Drosophila melanogaster: one gene and its partners. The protein of the gene in region 1 interacts with the protein of each later gene in a pairwise test. Each region holds a gene or a part of one and is shown in the gene's direction. Other genes may lie near its edges.

Region 1 (6,160 bases):
CGTTGGTGCTAATCCAGGTGTAGTCTGAGGGCGAATAAAATATATATATAGAGCAAGGTCAGAGGCGATAAGTTAACTTGGGCCAACGAGGGCCAACTGTACACCATTAATCAGCCACAGTAGAGGTTTTTTGTCTTTTATTTGTCAGGGTGTAGAATCGCTGGATCTATGGAAAGCTACCAAAGCTCCAAGGGATTTCGGCTGTCAGGTGCGCGGAGTATCGATGACACTTGCCCACTTGTCACGACTAATTGCGGCACTATGCTTTCGTTTTCGCCAGAATTATCTTAGTCACTAACTTTGCACTTCAGTTCTCACCTCCCATGTTGTATTTGTGTGCTTTTTTTGTATGTTGATTTAGGTCTGGAACGTGATGTTATATACTCGCTGGCTCCGCTATGTTTGGGCTGACTTCAACGACTGGTCGCTACCCGCACATCGGTTGCGCCTTAAAAGCTGTTGTTTCCGCTTATCAGTTCGGCAAGTTAGCCGGCAGTGATAAGATATCTTAGTCACACTGCTCTGAACCGTTCGATTGTGTGTGTTCCACAAAGGTATCCTCATGTCGTAGAGGGTGTTCGTCATTGCGACCAACTGACAGGTGTGTCAGAATGTATATTGGATGATTTTGTTTGGTAAAAACAATTTAAATTCTGGGTTAAACAGGAAGCGCAACCAAAATTACTCAATCGATCTTGTGCATGAATATTTGTTTTTGTTTTTGCGGGTTTTATCTATAAGCAGTTGGCTACGAATCTTATCGCCGGTAGTCAAAAATAAACTTCATCAATAAGTTCGTAAAAGATTATATGTATGAGGGTGGCTGTCCATGGATCAACTATAAGTTCAGGAATGCTTTTCTAGAACAAAAATAAGAACCAACATGTAAACAGTTACCTAACCTTCTTGTGGATTATTCAAATCATAAACCTAATAATTGAGAAACCTTTGGAAAACTAACTGTAACTGTTGTAAAGTTACAGACACTTGTTTGGTCTAAAGATGAGTCAATTGCGATATAAAGTTATTGATATCGTTACCGCTGAGTCACATATGTATATTTATACTTTTTAATGCCTTTTATGCCTTACATAAATGCATACATACATATGTCCTTTGAAATCAGTTTGTTTGTTATTACAAAGAAATTATTAATTAAAAGAGATAAAATAAGCACATACATTACACTAAAGGTTTAAAGATTATTTTTAATATTTCAGTAGGTAAAAAATAATTCAAAATGAATGATCCTTTTTCTATTAAAAGTACAAATTTTCGACATGCTTATCGCCCCTTCAACGGGGGGGATTTTTTGAGCATGGGCGCTTCTGGCAGGCGTCATATTGTTTATGGGTCTATTTAATTGGGGTTCCACCTGTTGAGAGGGCACAACAATAACATTTAAAACAATGTCCACATGCTTCGATTTACTTGTTTTTTTCTTTTACTCCCAAAAGTACCGCCTGTTTGGGCCAATGATTCATTTTCGATCGATAAATGGAATGCTTTTCTGGAAATGGAGCTTTCGAGACTGGAAGTTAAAATTAGTGATAGCAAAGGTCCCAATATCAACTGCACTTCTTTTTTTATATATGTACAAATGCGAATTGAAAGATAAAAGCTCGCCGATAAGAAGCAGTGACGAATCGCTCTGGTTCGGTTTTTAAACGTCAGGCTTTTGCAAACCAATAGTTTAGTGAAAAGACAAACTTTGGTCAGTTCAGACGCATTTTGGAGTCAGAAGAACGCAAGTGAATAAAAGAAACTATTTTTCATAGGAATAACTTATCAACAATTAACGCACAATGGGTAAGTAGAATGAGTAACCTCTGATAAGTGCAACCAAAAAAAAAAAAATGATTTTGCAATGCCAAAGTCTAATGAAATAAGTGTAATTTACCTTCAAGATCATCAAAATCAAAAAATATATTGTTGCATATTAGCTTAATTAAATTCAATTTCCCAATTACGGGCGAAGAAATCCGCAAGTGCTGACCAATTCTGTTGGTATTGCGATTTTTTTCTCTGTGCACATTAGCCGGAAGAAAAGCAAAGAGCATTGAGTGACTTCTACAGTTCTCCGCCTTTCTTTGCTCTTTCCAGGCGCCGTGCAGCCAGGAGGAGTTGTGACCGTTGGTAGGACGAGTGCAGTGAGCCCAGGGTGAAACCCCTACGCCTCTGTGAAACCCCAAATCCCATTTGATCCCCGCCCCCAGACCACCTAGGCCACCCAAAACCACCCAAACCCGCAAAACCGTACAGCAAGCCAAATATGTACACGGAGAAAAAGCTATGAGAGTATGAGTATAGAGTGAATCATTATATTGTACATTGTACTTAATTTTTAATCAAAACCGTATCCATTTAATAATGCAGCTTCGGGATGATAAATGTTTACCTTTTGAAAAAGTACGAAGTTAGTAAATCTTAATCTTTTTTTTTTTAATAACAATATATAATATCTATCAAGACAATATTAATATAACAGTGATTTAAATCAATCAAGTAGAGTTTTAAGATATTTCCAATGGAAAGGACACGAAACTTACTCTCCGGTTTTCGCTCTGTGTACAGATAGGTTATCTTATCGCGTGGTATCAAACTTATCGCCCTACTGCCTTTCTCCTTGCAGACAACACCTGGGTGCACTCGTCTCCATACAGCCCCCTGCCCCCATACGCGGTTATCGGTGGCCATGACTCGGACCGCACGCCCATCTATGTGGGTCGATCCTTTCACGAAGGCGAGAATCTTCCCGCCAAGGTCGTACCGAGCAAGGGATGCGCCTATGTGGCCTACGGTGGTGCGGAGCACACGAAGACGCACTACGAGGTGCTGGTGGGTCAGGGATTTGCCTGGGTGCCCAGTTCCAGCGGTGGAGTGCCACCGAATGCGGTGAGGAGCGGAACGACGCGAACGGGCGAGCCGCTCTATGTGGGACGCGGACATCATGCCGGAAGCTTGACTGTGGGCAAAGTTCATCCATCGCACGGCTGCCTATACATTCCATTTGGCGGCCAGGAGGTGCGCATCAACACCTACGAGGTGCTCATCAAGCAGCAGCACGACGTCTGGGTACCGGCCTCGCCCAGTTACACTCCTCCGGGCGCAGTGATCGCCGGACACGACTCCGACCGTACTCCCATTTACGCCGGAAGGGCAATGCACGAGGGTGAAATGCTGCCTGCCAAGGTGGTGCCGAGCAAGGGAACCGCCTACGTTTGCTTCGGCGGATACGAATTCCAGAAGCCCAGCTACGAGGTGCTCACTGGCTACGGATATGTATGGATGAATTGCGGCCACAGCATTCCACCAAACGCCGTAACCACGGGTCGTGCTCGCAATGGAGAGCTGCTGTACTATGGGCGAGGACACTACCAGGGCAGTTTGACACCGGGTCTGATCTCGGCCAGCCAGCGTTGCCTCTATATTCCGTACGGAGGTCGGGAGATTCGCATCAACTCGTACGAGATTCTCTGCAGACAATAAGCTAAAGGAACGGAACACTACAGATACCATATGCATTTAGTCTAGATCAAACTGTTATCGCAGCCAAATAAACTGATTGTTAATACCGGAAGAAATCTGTGGGCATTTTGTGTTCCTTCTATTTTTAAAATACTTATCCCTGCAAATGTATTATACTGATATGGCCAAAATGGACTGTCGGATTAGACAGGTTTTACAAAATTTATGAGCTACGATAGTGGCTTGCTATGAAGGTCATTTCCTTATATTCTACCTTTCTTCCACATTATTTACTTTTAAAGAAATTTAAAATTACTACATCATTTTTTTGCATGTCTATAGATGAAATAGCATATTATTGGTTAGTCCTTTATGATAAACTAATCACTTCTGAATAAGCAAATAACAAAATGCATCTTTCTTTCAGCCTACAAGTGGGTTCAATCCTCGGCCTACTCCTCCCTTCCCGAGGAGGCAGTGGTGGGCGGCAACGATGAGGACGGCGCCATGATATACGTGGGCAGGGCGGAGCACGAGGGCGATATGTTGGTCTGCAAGGTGGTGCCGAGCAAGCAACTGGGATTCATTTCGCAGCGAGGAGAGGCACTGCCCAAGGACATCTTCGAGGTGCTGTGCGGTCAGAATCTGGTGTGGATCAAGTGCTACGATCATGTGATTCCGGAGAATGCTGTACTCTGTGGACGCACATCGCTGGATCAGCCGGTTTACATTGGTCGTGGTCATTATGAGGGTCATCTGATTATCGGCAAAATCTCCTCTGTCCATCGAGCTTTGTTCATCGCTTTTCGCGGTGCCGAACGTCGTCTGGATTCCTATGAGATTTTGGTGGAGGAGCGCAGAGTGGTTCCTGGCTGGCAGCTGCCGCCACCACCTCCTCCACTAGAGGAGCCGGAAAAGTGTCCACTATCGCCGCCGCCACCACCTTCTCCACCGGCAATGGCGCCGCCACTGCCGGCCAAACCATATCCATATCCGGATTTGGCTGCGATGCCATTTCCTGACAGGCCTCCGGCCTACACACCCACTCCGGATCCCATGCCACCCGTTGGAGGTGTGATGGTGATGCCGAGTCCAACCCCACCACCGCCGGCGGGAGGAGTGCTGGTCATGCCACGACCACCACCACCACCACCGCCTGCAGGTGGTGTGTTGGTCATGCCACCTCCTCCTCCATCGTTCACTCCAGCTGAGGTGGCGCCACCGCCATCATTTGTTCCCGCAGAGGTGACCGCAGTATCCGTTCCCGTGGCACCATCGTTTACACCCGCTTCCACCTATAATCCCTACGAGGCGGGATGCTCGTCCTACACTCCGGCCGAGTGTGCTGCTCCTTCGGCATATGACGCCTACGGCTATGGCAACAACTATGACGTTTGGGTATCAGCCGAACCGGGCTATTATTACTCTCCCGATGCCGTGATTGGAGGTCATGACAGCAACATGGAGCAATTGCTGGTTTGCCGGGCCTACTACCGTGGTGTCCATGTTCCTGGCAAGGCCATTCCCAGCCAGGGATGTGGCTACATAGCCCACGGGGGTCGTGAAATCATTGAGCCATCGTACCAAATGCTGGTGGGCAAGGGCAAATACCACTGGGTGCCATCCTACGGCGGAAACGTTCCACCTGGAGCAGTTGTGGCCGGAACGACACCTGGCGGAGCACCACTCTACATTGGACGGGGTCACTACTGCGGCAGCTTGACACCCGGTGTAATTGAGACCTACAACCGATGCCTCCAGATCCCATTCGGTGGCCAAGAGATCCGTCTGAGCAACTATGAAGTTCTTGTTAGGAGCGATATTTACCACGGACAGCAGGCCATCCGCCTGGTTTACTGAAGACATATTTAATCTGGAAAATCCGAGAGCAGCTAGGCCATGAAAACCCATAAACAAATTTTTTGTTCCTATAAATTATTCCAGGCATATCTTTGTATATTGTGAAAAACTACATTTTAATTATTAATTACCTATATTTATATACGCACTCAATATTAAATGCATCTAAGCCAAATGCAAAATGTGAAACTACCTCTACACACATTATATTTAACCGACATGTTTATTTACTAGTTAAGATACTTATGCACTAATTATATTGACACACTTTTAAAGTTCGTTGTGTAATAAATGTTTTATTTATTTAATGACGCCTTTGGATTTAATCATTTGTTATGGTTTGGGTTTCTTATTACGTCGGTTCTACCACGTGTAAAATAAGTTAGTAATTATACTATGACAAACAAAGACTCTTTAACATTTCCATAAACGCTTGAACAAAATCGTAAAGAACAAAGTTCTTCCGCCTTAACATAGAAATTACAATTAGAAGATGGTAAGTAAACGATTTGCGGGCACGAGAGTTTAAGGTCAAAATAATATTGTATCACGTAGAATAGTAAACTTGGCTTAATGTGCGGAATTAAAAACGCTGTATTCCCAGCTTAGCAAAGAACCCCATATGCTTGAAAACCTCCTTGAACCCACACGGGTTTTAACGATTAGACAAATCTGGCATTTCCCACAACTATCCGTTATTGGCCAACACAAGATTTCTTAAACGATTCTGGTTTTTCGACGTCAACTCGGCGCACAAGATGAAAGAGAAGAAAGAGAAAGGCGAAACAGGTAAGAGTAAATATGAGCGAATGCGTCATAATGCGCACTCTGG
Region 2 (5,127 bases), on another chromosome or scaffold:
TTCAGCTATGCCGTGCCTGATGTGCCCTATGCCATCGATGGCACCGTCACCACCGTGGAGCTAAACACATTCGTGAACGCACTGTTGCGTCAAAAAGATGGCTCTTCCGACACGGACTTCGACTTCCTGGTGTTCGATGAGTACCTGCGTGGCCGGCTGTGCGATCACCTGCGCGAGAAAGCCATCAGTTTCGAGGACGCCATCGAGATCGAGTATGTGGAGCGGTTCCCGGCGCCAGAGCCACAGGATTGCCTGCTGCACGACGACTGGGTGTCCGCGGTGAAGGCTAGAGGAAAGTGGATCCTCTCCGGGTGCTACGACAACACCCTGAATTTGTGGACCAACAAAGGCAAGCACATTCTCACTATTTCTGGTCACACGGCGCCCATCAAGGCGGTGGACTGGATATCGCTGGACGAGGAGACGGGACGTTTTGTGTCCACATCGCAGGATCAGACCGCCATGCTGTGGCAGTGGAACGTGGGCTCCAACTCGGTGGAATGTGTCTCCGTGTGCAAGGGCCACGAGCGAGGCGTCGACAGTGTCAGCGTGAGTCCGGATGGTCTGAGATTTGCCACGGGCTCTTGGGACACGATGTTGAAGGTGTGGTCAGCAGAGCTGGACGATGCAGTCGAGGGCAGCTCAAAGCGGATGAAAGAGAGCGGTGTGAGAGTGAGTAGTCTTGCCATTTATAATTAGACTTGTAATCAGCTTTACAATTCCTTTCAGACCCCCAAAATTACGCTGCAGGGACATCGTGAGAGCGTATCAGCCGTGCAGTGGATGGATGCTACCACTCTGCTAACTGGCAGCTGGGATCACACACTCAAGGTGTGGGATCTGAGTCTTGAGGGCATCAAGACCGAAATATCCACCAACAAGTCCATATTCGATGCGAGCTACTCAAAGCTGAATCGGCTGATACTGACTGCTTCGGCGGACAAGAATCTGCGGCTCTATGATCCTAGGACAAACCGTAAGATCTAATACTCCAATATCAACAATGGAACTTCCACCTAACCAATATAATTCGGATCTTTCAGAGGGATCAGTGGTAAGGAATACCTATCTGGGACACAATGCCTGGGTGCAGACCGTCATGTGGTCCACCACGGAGGAGTTCCTATTTGTCTCCGGCGCTTATGACAACCAGAACAAGCTGTGGGACTGCAGGAGTCCCAAGGCCCCACTGTACGATCTTCTGGGTCACGGTGAAAAGGTCCTGGACATCGACTGGTCCAATCCCAAGTACATTGTATCTGGTGGTGTCGACAACACGGTGCGCGTATTCAAATCTCGCAAGGCGCTAGCGGAAGAAGCGGAGACGAAGTAATCCCAAAACTTGTAAACTTTTTATAAATACAAAACTAGTTTAAACTTTAAAGTAAATATTGAAAGATTTTACATCTGGGGTGTTACACTTAAATTATCGAAGTGGGTGAAGCAGAGAGGTATTCAAAGTGTATTATACATGGTGTAAATATTCTTGTTTTTTATTTCATTTACGAAATAGTTAGATTTCAATACTTGAATATTATTTTTATGGTATCCGCTTCCGAGTTGCCACAGTGCTAGAAAAGGCAAAAAACGGTTGCCAGAAGCCGAACATCGATAGTTCGCTAAGGATGAGCGGACAGCGCGAGCACCTAGAGACGGACCCGGACCGATAGCTGGCTACAAACATACAAATTATCGAGTTTCTAACAAAGATAAAGTCGGCTCTGCGTCGCCTCGTAATTTGCCAACTGTAATTTAGCGAAATAACAACGATCGCGACCGTGAGCCGCCGAGGAGTTTGGAGCGCCGACACTGCCACCCACCAAGGACGCCAGCGGAACAGCCGTGCATCCACTGCGAAGGCCGTGTGCGCGAGAGTGCGAGCGAGAGGGCAGCAGGCGACACAGGGAGAATCATTTTCGCAAGTGTTGTGATAGAAAAAAGTGAAAGAAACTGCAATAGTGAGGTGTGTATAGTGCTTCACGGGCTGGTCCCAAGATAGACCCCACCTAATCAGCGTCCAAATTCCGCGAAATTGTGCAATCGAGCTGCAGGCGGCGGAGTCAGCACCGTCATCATCATCCTCCGCCGTCGGCGGCGGCATTTTGCAAATGTCTGCTGATTGATTTTTTGCGGCATCCAGCACATGCTCTCGAAACTTTGGGGGCAAATGCTTGTCCAGCTATCACCTAATCCTGTCCAGCATCCACTGGCCTGACAACGAATCCCATGCAAAACCCACTTTTTACTGTCGGGGGTTTGCCAAAATGGCCGCTGCTCAATAGAAATGCGTGCGTTTGTGCGAAAAAAAGCAAACCCCTGTCATCATAAAGGGGCACAAACTGGGTGGAAAACCAGGTCAAGGACCCTGGGGAAGCCCCGTCCAAGATTCGCGTATAATTGCCGACTCCACTGGCCATACTTTTCACATCAACTACATTCGTACGCACAAAGTGCAGGCAAGAAGGGATTTCCCTTTAAAAATAAATGTGAATCCCAAGTAGGCTTTGGCTTCATATTTCACCAGTTTTCTATGGAAATTCCCTGCTGAACATAGTGGATCGTTTACATAAACCATTATCTAACCAAACATCAAAATACTCATTTCAGTTCGAAGAAACGAGACCAAAAATGTCTTCAACCCCAGCAGCGGGCAGTGCCGCCGAGGTGGCCACCTCCAGTGCCACCTCAAATGCGCCCAGTGCACCCAGCACAACGGCCAGCAACGTGAGCAATACCAGCCAGCCGACGACTGCCGGAACTCCGCAGGCACGTGGCGGCAGGGGCAGCAACGCCAACGGTGGTGCCTCCGGGAGCAATGCCGGTGGCGGAGATGAGCCGCGAAAGGAAGCCAAAACAACGCCCAGGATATCCAGGGCGCTGGGCACCTCGGCCAAGCGCATACAGAAGGAGCTGGCTGAGATCACACTGGACCCACCGCCCAACTGCAGTGCCGGGCCCAAGGGCGACAACCTGTACGAGTGGGTATCCACCATACTGGGACCACCCGGATCCGTCTACGAGGGCGGCGTCTTCTTCCTCGACATACACTTCTCGCCGGAGTATCCCTTCAAGCCACCCAAAGTCACGTTCCGCACGCGCATCTATCACTGCAACATCAACAGCCAGGGCGTCATTTGCCTGGACATACTCAAGGACAACTGGTCGCCGGCGCTGACCATATCAAAGGTCTTGCTGTCAATTTGCTCCCTGCTCACAGACTGTAATCCAGGTGAGACTTATTTTTTTTAGACTTTGATATACAGTGTCGTGTTCTCCACTTTGATTTAACTTTTCCTAGGACTGTAGTAAATATGATCTCATGTTTATATCATGTGTCTTTACAGCCGATCCGCTGGTGGGCAGCATTGCCACGCAATATTTGCAGAATCGTGAGGAGCACGATCGAATTGCGCGTCTCTGGACAAAAAGGTGAGTTGTCGCTGGAAAAGCGAGTAAACAAACTTAGTAATCTGTGTGCTTGTCTTTTAGGTACGCAACATGATGCGTAAGTTTTGGCAACGTGCATGTACCACAAACCGAAAACTGCAACAACAGAAACGAAAATTCGCATCTTGCAACGGAGAAAGTCTATTTTATAAATATATATTAAAGTACGATAACTACTAAATTAACAGTAACAACTACCGTAACACGAAAAGCAACCGCCAACAGCCAGTCGATCCAATCCAATCTAAATTCAGTCTATATTTATATCACGTTAATACAGAAGTTGTAAAAAAAAAAAAACATTTGGAGATTTCTTGAGTTGTATTTTTCGGAAACTAGTTTTGTTTTTAATTCGCTTAGCAACCGAAAACATTGTAACGAGTCACATTCGATGAAAAACTGCATCATGAATTGCACATTGACATATTAAACTATAAACTATTCAACTGCATAATAAATATAAATACAATTAGTTTACATTATATGTGTACAGTGTTAAGTGAAAATGGAGCTAAACGAGTAAAGAGAAAAGCCTATTTTAATGCGTAATGCGTAATATTAATGCAACCAATGTCAGGGCAGTAAACTTCGTAAAAGATGATTTTCATTCAAAAAAAAAAAAAAAAACTGGCCACAGCAAGGAAAATTCTCAACAACAAAAGACTAAAAATGAAGTGGTAAACGAAAAACGAAATAAATCTATGTATACAAAACTTAAGACAACCTATTCCAAATTCCAAAACAAAATTAAATAAATTTGTGTTATTTATATATGAAATCGGATTCGGTTTGATTTTTTAATGTGATATTTTTAAGCGTTCGAAATTTGTTTTTTTGGTCAAATACTACCTTTCACTAATAATGATTTTAGACTTGAACATTAAAAAGGCTCCACCACAGCGAAATTTGTTATTTTAAAGAAAGGCAATTACGAGTATAGTGCTGATATATAAAGGAAAAGAAAAGAAAAAAAGAATATAAATAAAAACCAACTTCCTACTATTTTGTAGTTTTAATGACTAAACCAGTCATCGTCGTCACTTCATTGAAAAAAAAACTGAGAACAAGATTTCGTAACAAAGTAATTGTAAGTTTTTTTCGTAACCAAAACAAAACTGAAATCGCAAATGGAAAGGAACTTAAATAAAAAATATTATAAAATTACTTTTCGACTCATTAATCGGTCCACAGGTAAGGCGATCGCTATGTTTAAGTTTTAGTTTTATTTGATATATCTTTGTTTATATAAAATACGTTTTTCATTACACAATTAATCGTAAATATATATATCCTCACGCTTCCCCGCACGTGGAACAACACAACGAATCTTGGCTAGCCCCCGACCTAATCCGCAGGCAACCGGCTTACAGATACATGCCGTTGACCAGGAAGTCCGCCTCCTGTGAGTAGGGCGTCTTGCCGCCCAGTCGTCGTGCCCTCCGCGTCACCGTCCGCATCCTGCACCCGATAAGAATGGCCAGCGCAGCGGTGACCAGCAGGCCCAGAGTCAGCGAGAGGACCGCCCCGCCAGGTCGCTCCGAGTGACCGTCGTGATCGCGGAACTCCATCGCCAGGTTGTCATGGATCATCTTGTACTGCTCGTGGACGGGGGAAGCGGGAACCGGCAGGGCTGGAAGGGATCCCTCCGGTTGCAACTTGTTTTGCTCCAGGGCAAGTTCA
Region 3 (4,599 bases), on another chromosome or scaffold:
GCCACGCACTGGAGAGTCTCGTACCGTACAAACTAAAAAGCCCGGGAGACACCTGAAACCAAAGCCGAGAGATACCAATAAACTGCAGTGCCTTCCATTGACACTCGGCTTTTGAATACCCTAAAAACTGATTGGTGTACTTACGTACATTCATATATAAATTGCGTTTCGGTTTATATTGTGTAATCCTATTACACACATAAGCATATGATTGAATGAAAACAAGTAGAACCTTTAATAGGCTACAGTTGGTTCTAAATAAATTGAAGTGGACATTGCATTAAGTAAAATACATATCACAATGTGTTTTGGCGCAACTGTACGTTTAGTTTTCGGGACCAAATAACACCTGTTTTGATCTGACTGTACTTCGCGGGACTCGTTATTAACTGGCAGTTAACTTTTTAGCCCCGTATGATGGCGGCACAATGGAATTTGACTTGGACTCTTGGACCTGGCTAATTAAATTTTTTTTTTTGGTAAATGTTTAGAGTCGGGGCGACCTTTTGGAGCTGCGCCCGTTCGTGAACTCGTGTATTCGTTTGTTCGTGTTCGTGCTCGGTCGTTCCCGGTTTTCTCTGCCTTCTGGAACGGGGCCTGTCTTGAAAGCCGCAGAGCGCGCGAATACCGAAAACTTCTTGCATTCGACGGTGCGAAAGGGACGGGGAGAGTGATGGCATGTGGGAAAGGGAGAGGGCTAGAGCGAGGAGAGGTGGCCATCGAATGCTAAGCAGGGGCCTTTGCTTTTGCTTTTGGTGCTTGCCAAAAATAGAGCCGCCCCGCCACGCCTTCGCCCACAAAGAGCACCCACCCACCCACTCCCGCACAAAAGCAACAACATCATCATCACACCACCAATACCAAAACCAATACCAATACTGTGACCCAGCCAGCTCTCTGTGAACATGTGTCAGTGTGTGTGGGTCTTGTATATAGCATAGCTTAAGCTTTCCTTGTACCGTGGTTCAAATGCCAGGGGAAAATGGCATTATTATATTCTTATAGAGAAATAATATATACAAATAAATTTGTACAACTGTATGTAAAGAGTAAACATGTAACAAGGAAACACTAATTTTAAAGTAAATTTAGCTAGTTTGCATTATTTTTTACACCATTTATATGAGTAAGCCACAAAGAAGCTTGCCTTTTTTGATCTGCTTGATTCCCAGATGGTGTTACTAAAAAATAATGCGAATTTGAGAGAAAGTTTAACAATAAAAAGTTCAAATTCGAGATACATATGTGTAGAGTATTTAAAGAACTTAATTGTGAGGTTAAATATTCAACAAATGGTAAACTTGTAATCCCATAAATTCGTATTATTTTATAAAATTTTACTTTCATACTGAATTGGCTAAGATCCCTTAATTAATTTCCATAAGTTGCTTATGTCTTAACCACTGTGGGTTGTAACTCTGCAGCTACGTTGACGTCGGCGTCGCAGCTTAGAGCTAGTCGATGAGCGGAAGGAGAGAGAGAGAGCAGGCGTTCGTCGAGGAGGGGGCTAGCCGAATAGGGTGAGAGAGAGCGATGGCAGAGTAGGAAAATGCATAAGAAGGGGGGTGGGGGCGCAAAAGGGAGACGGACAGCAGCAACAACAATTCGGCAAAATGTTCGTGGCAGCGTTGCAGCGACGCCGACTGCGCTACGGGTGTTTGTTTTTTTCTCTTTCGTGTTTTCCGTTTTTCTTTTGCGCTCTGCATCCGCTGCCGCAGTAGGCGTCGCTGCCGGCGCGCTGCGCCAGTGTGGGTGAGCGCACGGCTGTAGGTTTGTGTGTGTGCCGTACACATTTTTCAGTTGACTTCGTTGAAATAATTTTCGTAACAACGATCACACTCGTTTGTGTATTGCGAAGACGGGCGGACGTGCGTCGGCGTCGAATGCGGAACAAGCGCTAAAGCAAACTAGCGAAAAAGTGCGAATATCAAAAGAAAAGAGAACCAAACAAATTGTTTTTTTTTTTCACCACGAGCGTCGTCGCAAAAACAACAAAAAGGAATTTAATAAACCAAAAGCAAACGAGGAGAGAGAAAGCAGCAACTAAATATAACAACAAATGCATTAAATAGTTTTGTTTTTTTTTTTGCCACACTGCCAAAATGCAGTTAGCGTTTGTTTGTGTAAGTGTACCACATGCATACATAATGTATAATTTATATGCCAAAAACAACAACAGCAATAGCATTGTGTGCAAAATGTTGAAATGAGCTCGAAAAACAACAAAAATAAGTGCGCGCATTAACACACGCACACTTGCAAAGGAAAACATCTAAAAAAATTATCACGTGTGTGTGTGTGTGTGTGTGTGTGTGAGACAGCCGGTCAGTGTGACCGTTTGTGTGCCAGAAAGAGAAGGATCGAACAAGCCGGCTGTTTATTTCTTTTATAGTTCTGTTTAAATAACAAATACACTTGCCAAAAGAATTTCATTTTGATGTGTGAATAATTAAAAAAATCAGTAAGACATAATGCAGTCTTTGTTAAATATATATTGACATATATGAGCATATATATAAATACATACACAAATAACATATCAAATTGAAATGCTGGCAGTACCAATCGAACTGTCATCCTAACAAGTAAATTTTTCAATACAGCTCCTAATATAAAACCAAACCAAAAGTGTGGATATCGAAAAGTCTGGAAAAGTACGATAACGCAAGATTACATAGAGCGCGAGCAAGACAGCATTCTAGAGCAAAAGAGCGAGAGTGTGCGGAGGAGCGATGGCCAGCGAGGATGTGCAGATCACTAGCGTCATCGATGCCAATGGCCAGAGCCTACCGCTCCACGGCAACAGTTTGGGCGGTCCCCTGGGACCGCCCGTCAAGCAGGAGCGTCCCGATGACGCCGAGATCCGCGAACTAGCTGCCAAAATGAAGGAGCAGCAGAAGCAACAGGCCGCCCAGCAGGCATCCCGTCAAGCGGCCATGCAGCACTCGAATGGGGGCGCCATTGCGGCATCCTCGGCCGGTGGCAACATGCAGCCGCCGATCACAAATGGCAATGGCCAGACCAATATCATGAACTACCTATCTCGTCATCAGAAACTACCCAACGGCACCATGCAGGTGGTGCCCGCCTTGGCCTCCAATGGCCGCTCGAATGGAGCCGTCAGCGACTCCGGCTCGGACAAGAAGTCCTCCACGGGACCCTGCGACGAGGAGTCCATTCAAGGCCACTTCGGCTGGGCTCAGTTCGGCAAGGTATCCATACCGTACATCTATCGCCAATCGGAGAAGTACTGCTCCGTGCGCATGATCGAACTGAAACTGCTGGGCAAATACCTTAACTGCCTGCATCCGGATATCTACTCCAGCTGCACCTGCGTGCGCAGCTACTACATCACCGATGCGGAGGCCCGTCTCTTCATCGAGATTAATCATAAGCATTGTGACGGCGAGTTCGGTCGCGACATCTTCAACCAAAAGGATTTGGTGGTGCGTCTCAGTGACGCATCCAAGTTCTATCAGTTCCTGGATATTTGCTATAGGAAACTAGTCTCCGGCAGCAAGACGCCGTCGGAGAAGTGCGGCTTTATTCGCATCAACAAGGAGTCCGTGGTGCCCTACACTGTGCGCAACAATCAGCAGGTTGTGCCGCTCTTTTATTTTGAGGGCGAGACCGAGAATCTAAAGACCAAAGCGGAGCTGCTCAATGGCTGGGACCTGGCTTATCTAAAGTTCTGCTGCAAGGTGCAGGGCATACGCAATGAGCTCTTCTCCAGCGAGAACGTGGCCGTGATTTCGCTGACGGACATCAAAAGCTACTTCCCAAATGGCACCGAATTCGAGGACTACTGGCCCAGCAAGGTGGTTGACTCCAATCTGCTCATTGGCAATCGGGCCAATGTCAACAACTCGGTCAATTGGACCCGTCAACCCTCGGCGCCGCCTCCAAAAGTGACCACCTCCGTTTCCGGATCGTCCGGCCCTTCCTCCTCCAGCGGCGGCAACATGGGCCAGAACACATCAGCCGCATCATCCTCCGCGAACACCGCTGGTGGCCAACAGGTGACCTCAAAATCTCAGCAACAGCACGCTGCCTCTGCCGCCGCAGCAGCGGCGACGGCGCATCAACAGCATCTGATGAAGCAACGCGCCGCCGCAGCAGCAGCTGCCGCCGGCGCCAATGGTGTGGCGAATGCGGCAAATAGTTTTGGGGCAGCCGCGGTAGCGGCCTTCAATTCCCAGGCGGCGGCAGCGGCGTCGATGCTCCAGCAGTCGCAGGGCAACAACAGGATGTTATCGCAGGCCACCGTCCAGGCTTTGGCCAGCAGCGGATGGATGTCCGGACAGACAAACCTGCAGCTCCACGCCCAGATGATGGTGAGTTGAGCACTAGGCTAGCTAACGTTTTCCTCCAATTAATGCACAATGTTTATCAAACTTTGGGATATCAAAGCTATTAGCAAAGTTTGAGAAGTAATGCCCAATCGTAATCTGGAATATAATATCAACGTTGCTATGGTATCATTTATTATACCCCAGCTACTGAACAATATTATAGATACAAGATTCTTTACACTCAACCGAATTATCGTTTTTCAAGCCTTATCTAGAAATTCGAGCCTACTTTAGAGTAATGCGAGTC
Region 4 (3,676 bases), on another chromosome or scaffold:
CTCAACTGACAAAGTTCTAAATCTGATTTTTGCACCGTGCTTGCTTTTCCTTGATTACTCATACGCCCCGTGTGCGCGGGTTGGCCAAGAAATGGAGGCTACCACTTACCGCGAGATTCACGGGCTGCCCGTGTAATGGGCTTTTAGGCCTCGGCATTAAAGAACCATTGTCTCAGTGGGGTAAGAGCACAAGAAAAGAAAAAAAAAAACGAGAAACTCCCAGGCCATCGCCAAAGTGCACCCATGGCCAAGTCAACTCATAGCAGTCGGCAGTAGCTTCGGTTGCCTCCCTCCATCCATCCCTCCATCTATCCATCCATCCCTCCAACCATCTATCCATCCATACAGTCAGTCGAATCAGTTAACACTTTTCACATGCCCGCCGGGTCGAACAATGTGAACCCACTCATATGGGCGGTATGACAAGCGTATGTATATACTATGTGGCTATCCACAAGCATGGCATCGACAACTATTTTGACATATTTCGTAAATATCCGTGGATAAGTATCGCAATGCTATTGGCACACGTAACTTCAACTGCACAGATACAAGCTACAGTTTTGCAGTTTTGGAAAATGGCAAACGGATATAGATCGTTATGTTCTTAAATGCTACTTTATTATTCAAACACTTGCTAAAGTTATTATTAAAGTTATTTGAAACATCTGAGTACTTTTTAGTTTCTTGTACTAAACTCTATAGATTAAATGTACTTAAATGTGGAATACCCCTGAATTTATGCTAAAACTATCGCCCAGATTGGTAGAACCTAATTCAGTCCATTCAACCCAATCGAAGTTACGACTCCAATCCGTTAGGTTTTTTAGAAAATGTGTCAGCAATGTTGGTTGGAATGGGGATACTTAGCTTAGGCACTTGGCCAAAAAGCCTCTAAGAAATTAACAATTGCCACCTTTGTTGGCGAAATTCAAGCATTCAGATCCGCCTGGCTCTTCTTCTCTGCGATGTTTTGTTAACAATTTCAGTTGGCTTAAATAAGCGCTGGAAAGTGAAAACCCAATTCGATACTGTTGTTCATGAAATGAGTCACGTACTAGCCGCAATATTTATCTATCTAACTAAATCGTTTCAACTGGACTCGCATGATTGCTGTTACGTTTTTTTTTTAAACTTTGTTTTCAAAGCTGCAATCGTTGGGCATTTTCGCGTTTTATGTTGACCAATTAGCTGTTTCAGGGTCAAGTTAATGATTCAATTAGCATTTGTCATCATTGTTATTGCTTCTCCTGAGCGGCGGCGGTATAATTGATCCCCCAGATCGTGGGAATATTCATAATGATGTGTGATCACACATCAACACGCCCAACCAGCTTTTCATAAGTAGATCATTCGAAAGGTATTGTTTTCTTCAAGAAAAGAGTTAAGATTATAAATATGTATTTAATATACAATATTAGCAATCTAAGTTGATCCAGAGTTGTTCCATAAATGGGTTAAGTAGAGCTCATCTGATTCTGGAAACTATCTAATCCAGGATATAAATTCAATCTAATATGTTTGATGATTAAGCCAAGACCCATCAGCATACACGTTGTCCAGTGGCATGCGTCATACATACATAGGTGGCAAGCAAGGCGACACGAATCTCTGGGATGCAACAGTTGCGTCCAACTTCGCGGCTCGAGTTCGCTGGGATTGGAAGTGGGCTCGGCGGGTATAAAAGCGACTGCCGGCCCGGTGGGGAATCATTAGACAAGTGTCGAACGGCGCGTGCGCATCATAGTCTTGAAGGAGCAGTTAGCCACCAGAAAGCAGTGAACACCACAAACCGGCAGCCACAACATGAAGTGCTTTGTAAGGACTCGCCAAAGGATCTCTCGTGGATTATAATTTCCCAAAAACTAGAAAATGATTTAAAAAACACAGTTCGTTAAAGTGAATAATAAGTTTTGAAAGCATTGTATTCCAAATGCTTGATGTTCATTGTTAAATTATAAAGTGTATTTAAATTTTAGTTTAAAGTTGATACATATTTTTTACATTTTTTTTATTACATTTTTGAATATGTTTTATGTTGCTTTTGAGAATTTGTTAAACAAAATACTATTGTTAAAAAGTACTTTTCACTTTATTGAAATATGTTTTAAGTGGTAATCTTTTGAATATGATACATTTTGGTGACGCTTTATCCTCGCGCAGTTTATCCTGATAGCAACCAGTCTGGTGCTGAGTGCCTATGCCCAGGACGCGGCGGATTCTGACCTGGAGCAGGTGGCATCCGCATCGGCACCGGATGCGGTGGCCGTGGAGGATCAGGTGAGCGCCGCCAGCAGCTATGCCCCGCTGCAGGATAAGAAGCAGGAGAAGCGCTATGTTGGTGGATACGGTGGCTACGGAGCGGGCTACGGCGCGGGATACGGCGGCTATGGCGCCGGATATGGCGCAGGATACGGCGGCTATGCCTCTGGCCTGGGAGCCGGCTATGGAGGAGCGTACGGCAGTGGCGTCGGCGTTGGCGTGGACAGCTACTACAATCCGTACAGCTCGCGAGCTCTGGGTGGATTAGGTGAGGGTGAGCTTGAAAGAAGACTCTCAATCTCTTGCCGAAGACTCGTAGTATACCAACGCTGTTTCTCAATCCCCAGATGGTGCTGCAGTGGCCGGATACGGAGGCTATGGATCCACTCTGGGCGGCTATGGATCCGCTTTGGGTGGCTATGGATCCGCTCTTGGTGGCTATGGATCGGGACTTAGTGGTTATGGTGGCTCCTACAACTCGAATCCATACGCCCTGTCATACTACAACAGCAGGCTGGGCGCTGGAGCCGGCACTGGGTATCCGTACTACAACACCCGATTCGGCGCTGGTGGCTATCCATCCAGTTACTATACGAGCAACTATGGCAACAGCGTGGTGGGCGGCGGCTTGGGCGCTTTGGGCGGAGTGCCGCCCATCGGATCGGGCTATAACTACGGTTCCGGAATCTCGGGAACCGTCTACTAGACACCGCACGGTCCAACGTTCAAGATCTAAGCTAGTGGAATTTATTTTTTTTCATCGATATATTTTTTTCTAACTTTATTTTTATTAAAAGATGCTACAAAAAAATACATTATCATAATCGTCATTTAACTAGAAAGTATATATTTATATATGCATGTAATCTCATTGGGGCGATGGATATGCGCCATGCTTGTCCTTGATCACCCAGAAGGAGTCGACAATGGCGCCGTTCTGGTCATCGGACACCTGCTCGAAGTGAAGATGCGTGCCATTATGTGCCTTCAAGCGGGTGTATCCGTAATCCTAAAGAGATTATAGAATTATAGTATTCCGTTTTGATATTAAGCAGGTCATTCAATTACATTGCTATGGTAGGCATTCCAGATGGGCAAATCGTTGGAGAAGGGCTCGCGCTCCTCCTTGCAGCCGGCGGAACCCGTGATGATCTGGATGGGCGCCTTGGGATTAGTGTATGGCGCCTCGGCACTGCCATTGTACACCTTGTAGTCGTAGATTGGCCACAGGCGAGTGTAGAAGTGTTCATGCGCAAAGATCTCCACGTCGACGCCGTGCTTGTAGAACAGATCCTCCAGGCCGAACCACTTGAGCATGGGCAGACCCTGGCGAATGTACGTCTCCAGTTGGCTATTGCAATCGTACTCCTTGTCGTCGCTGCAGTACATCGGTCGATGACCGTAGGTGATGATC

Evidence for each region.
Region 2: the proteins of CG44251 (region 1) and Ubc2 interact in a two-hybrid assay, tested with the Drosophila melanogaster proteins (one large-scale study listed by BioGRID).
Region 3: the proteins of CG44251 (region 1) and CG43736 interact in a two-hybrid assay, tested with the Drosophila melanogaster proteins (one large-scale study listed by BioGRID).
Region 4: the proteins of CG44251 (region 1) and CG2157 interact in a two-hybrid assay, tested with the Drosophila melanogaster proteins (one large-scale study listed by BioGRID).

The regions. Positions count from the first base shown.
Region 1 is NT_033778.4:12,947,822-12,953,981, reverse strand, and holds CG44251 (uncharacterized protein), read left to right. Parts: upstream 1-1,688; 5' UTR 1,689-1,805; coding exon 1,806-1,809; intron 1,810-2,103; coding exon of another isoform or gene 2,104-2,136; intron 2,137-2,632; coding exon of another isoform or gene 2,633-3,489; exon of another isoform or gene 3,490-3,578; intron 3,579-3,772; exon of another isoform or gene 3,773-3,829; intron 3,830-3,895; coding exon 3,896-5,328; 3' UTR 5,329-5,634; downstream 5,635-6,160. Other genes in the region: CG13321 (uncharacterized protein), read right to left, coding at 1-24, 319-325; CG44250 (uncharacterized protein), read left to right, coding at 1,806-1,809, 2,104-2,136, 2,633-3,489.
Region 2 is NT_033779.5:10,764,493-10,769,619, reverse strand, and holds Ubc2 (ubiquitin conjugating enzyme 2), read left to right. Parts: upstream 1-1,680; 5' UTR 1,681-1,963; intron 1,964-2,533; exon of another isoform or gene 2,534-2,607; 5' UTR 2,608-2,628; coding exon 2,629-3,229; intron 3,230-3,344; coding exon 3,345-3,429; intron 3,430-3,489; coding exon 3,490-3,502; 3' UTR 3,503-4,610; downstream 4,611-5,127. Other genes in the region: CG6724 (uncharacterized protein), read left to right, coding at 6-672, 730-976, 1,044-1,333; CG6495 (uncharacterized protein), read right to left, coding at 4,812-5,127. UniProt on the Drosophila melanogaster protein: Catalyzes the covalent attachment of ubiquitin to other proteins.
Region 3 is NC_004354.4:6,866,658-6,871,256, forward strand, and holds the start of CG43736 (uncharacterized protein), read left to right. Parts: upstream 1-1,569; 5' UTR 1,570-2,123; intron 2,124-2,603; 5' UTR 2,604-2,732; coding exon 2,733-4,334; intron 4,335-4,599.
Region 4 is NC_004354.4:10,867,574-10,871,249, forward strand, and holds CG2157 (uncharacterized protein), read left to right. Parts: upstream 1-1,710; 5' UTR 1,711-1,806; coding exon 1,807-1,818; intron 1,819-2,163; coding exon 2,164-2,536; intron 2,537-2,609; coding exon 2,610-2,968; 3' UTR 2,969-3,130; downstream 3,131-3,676.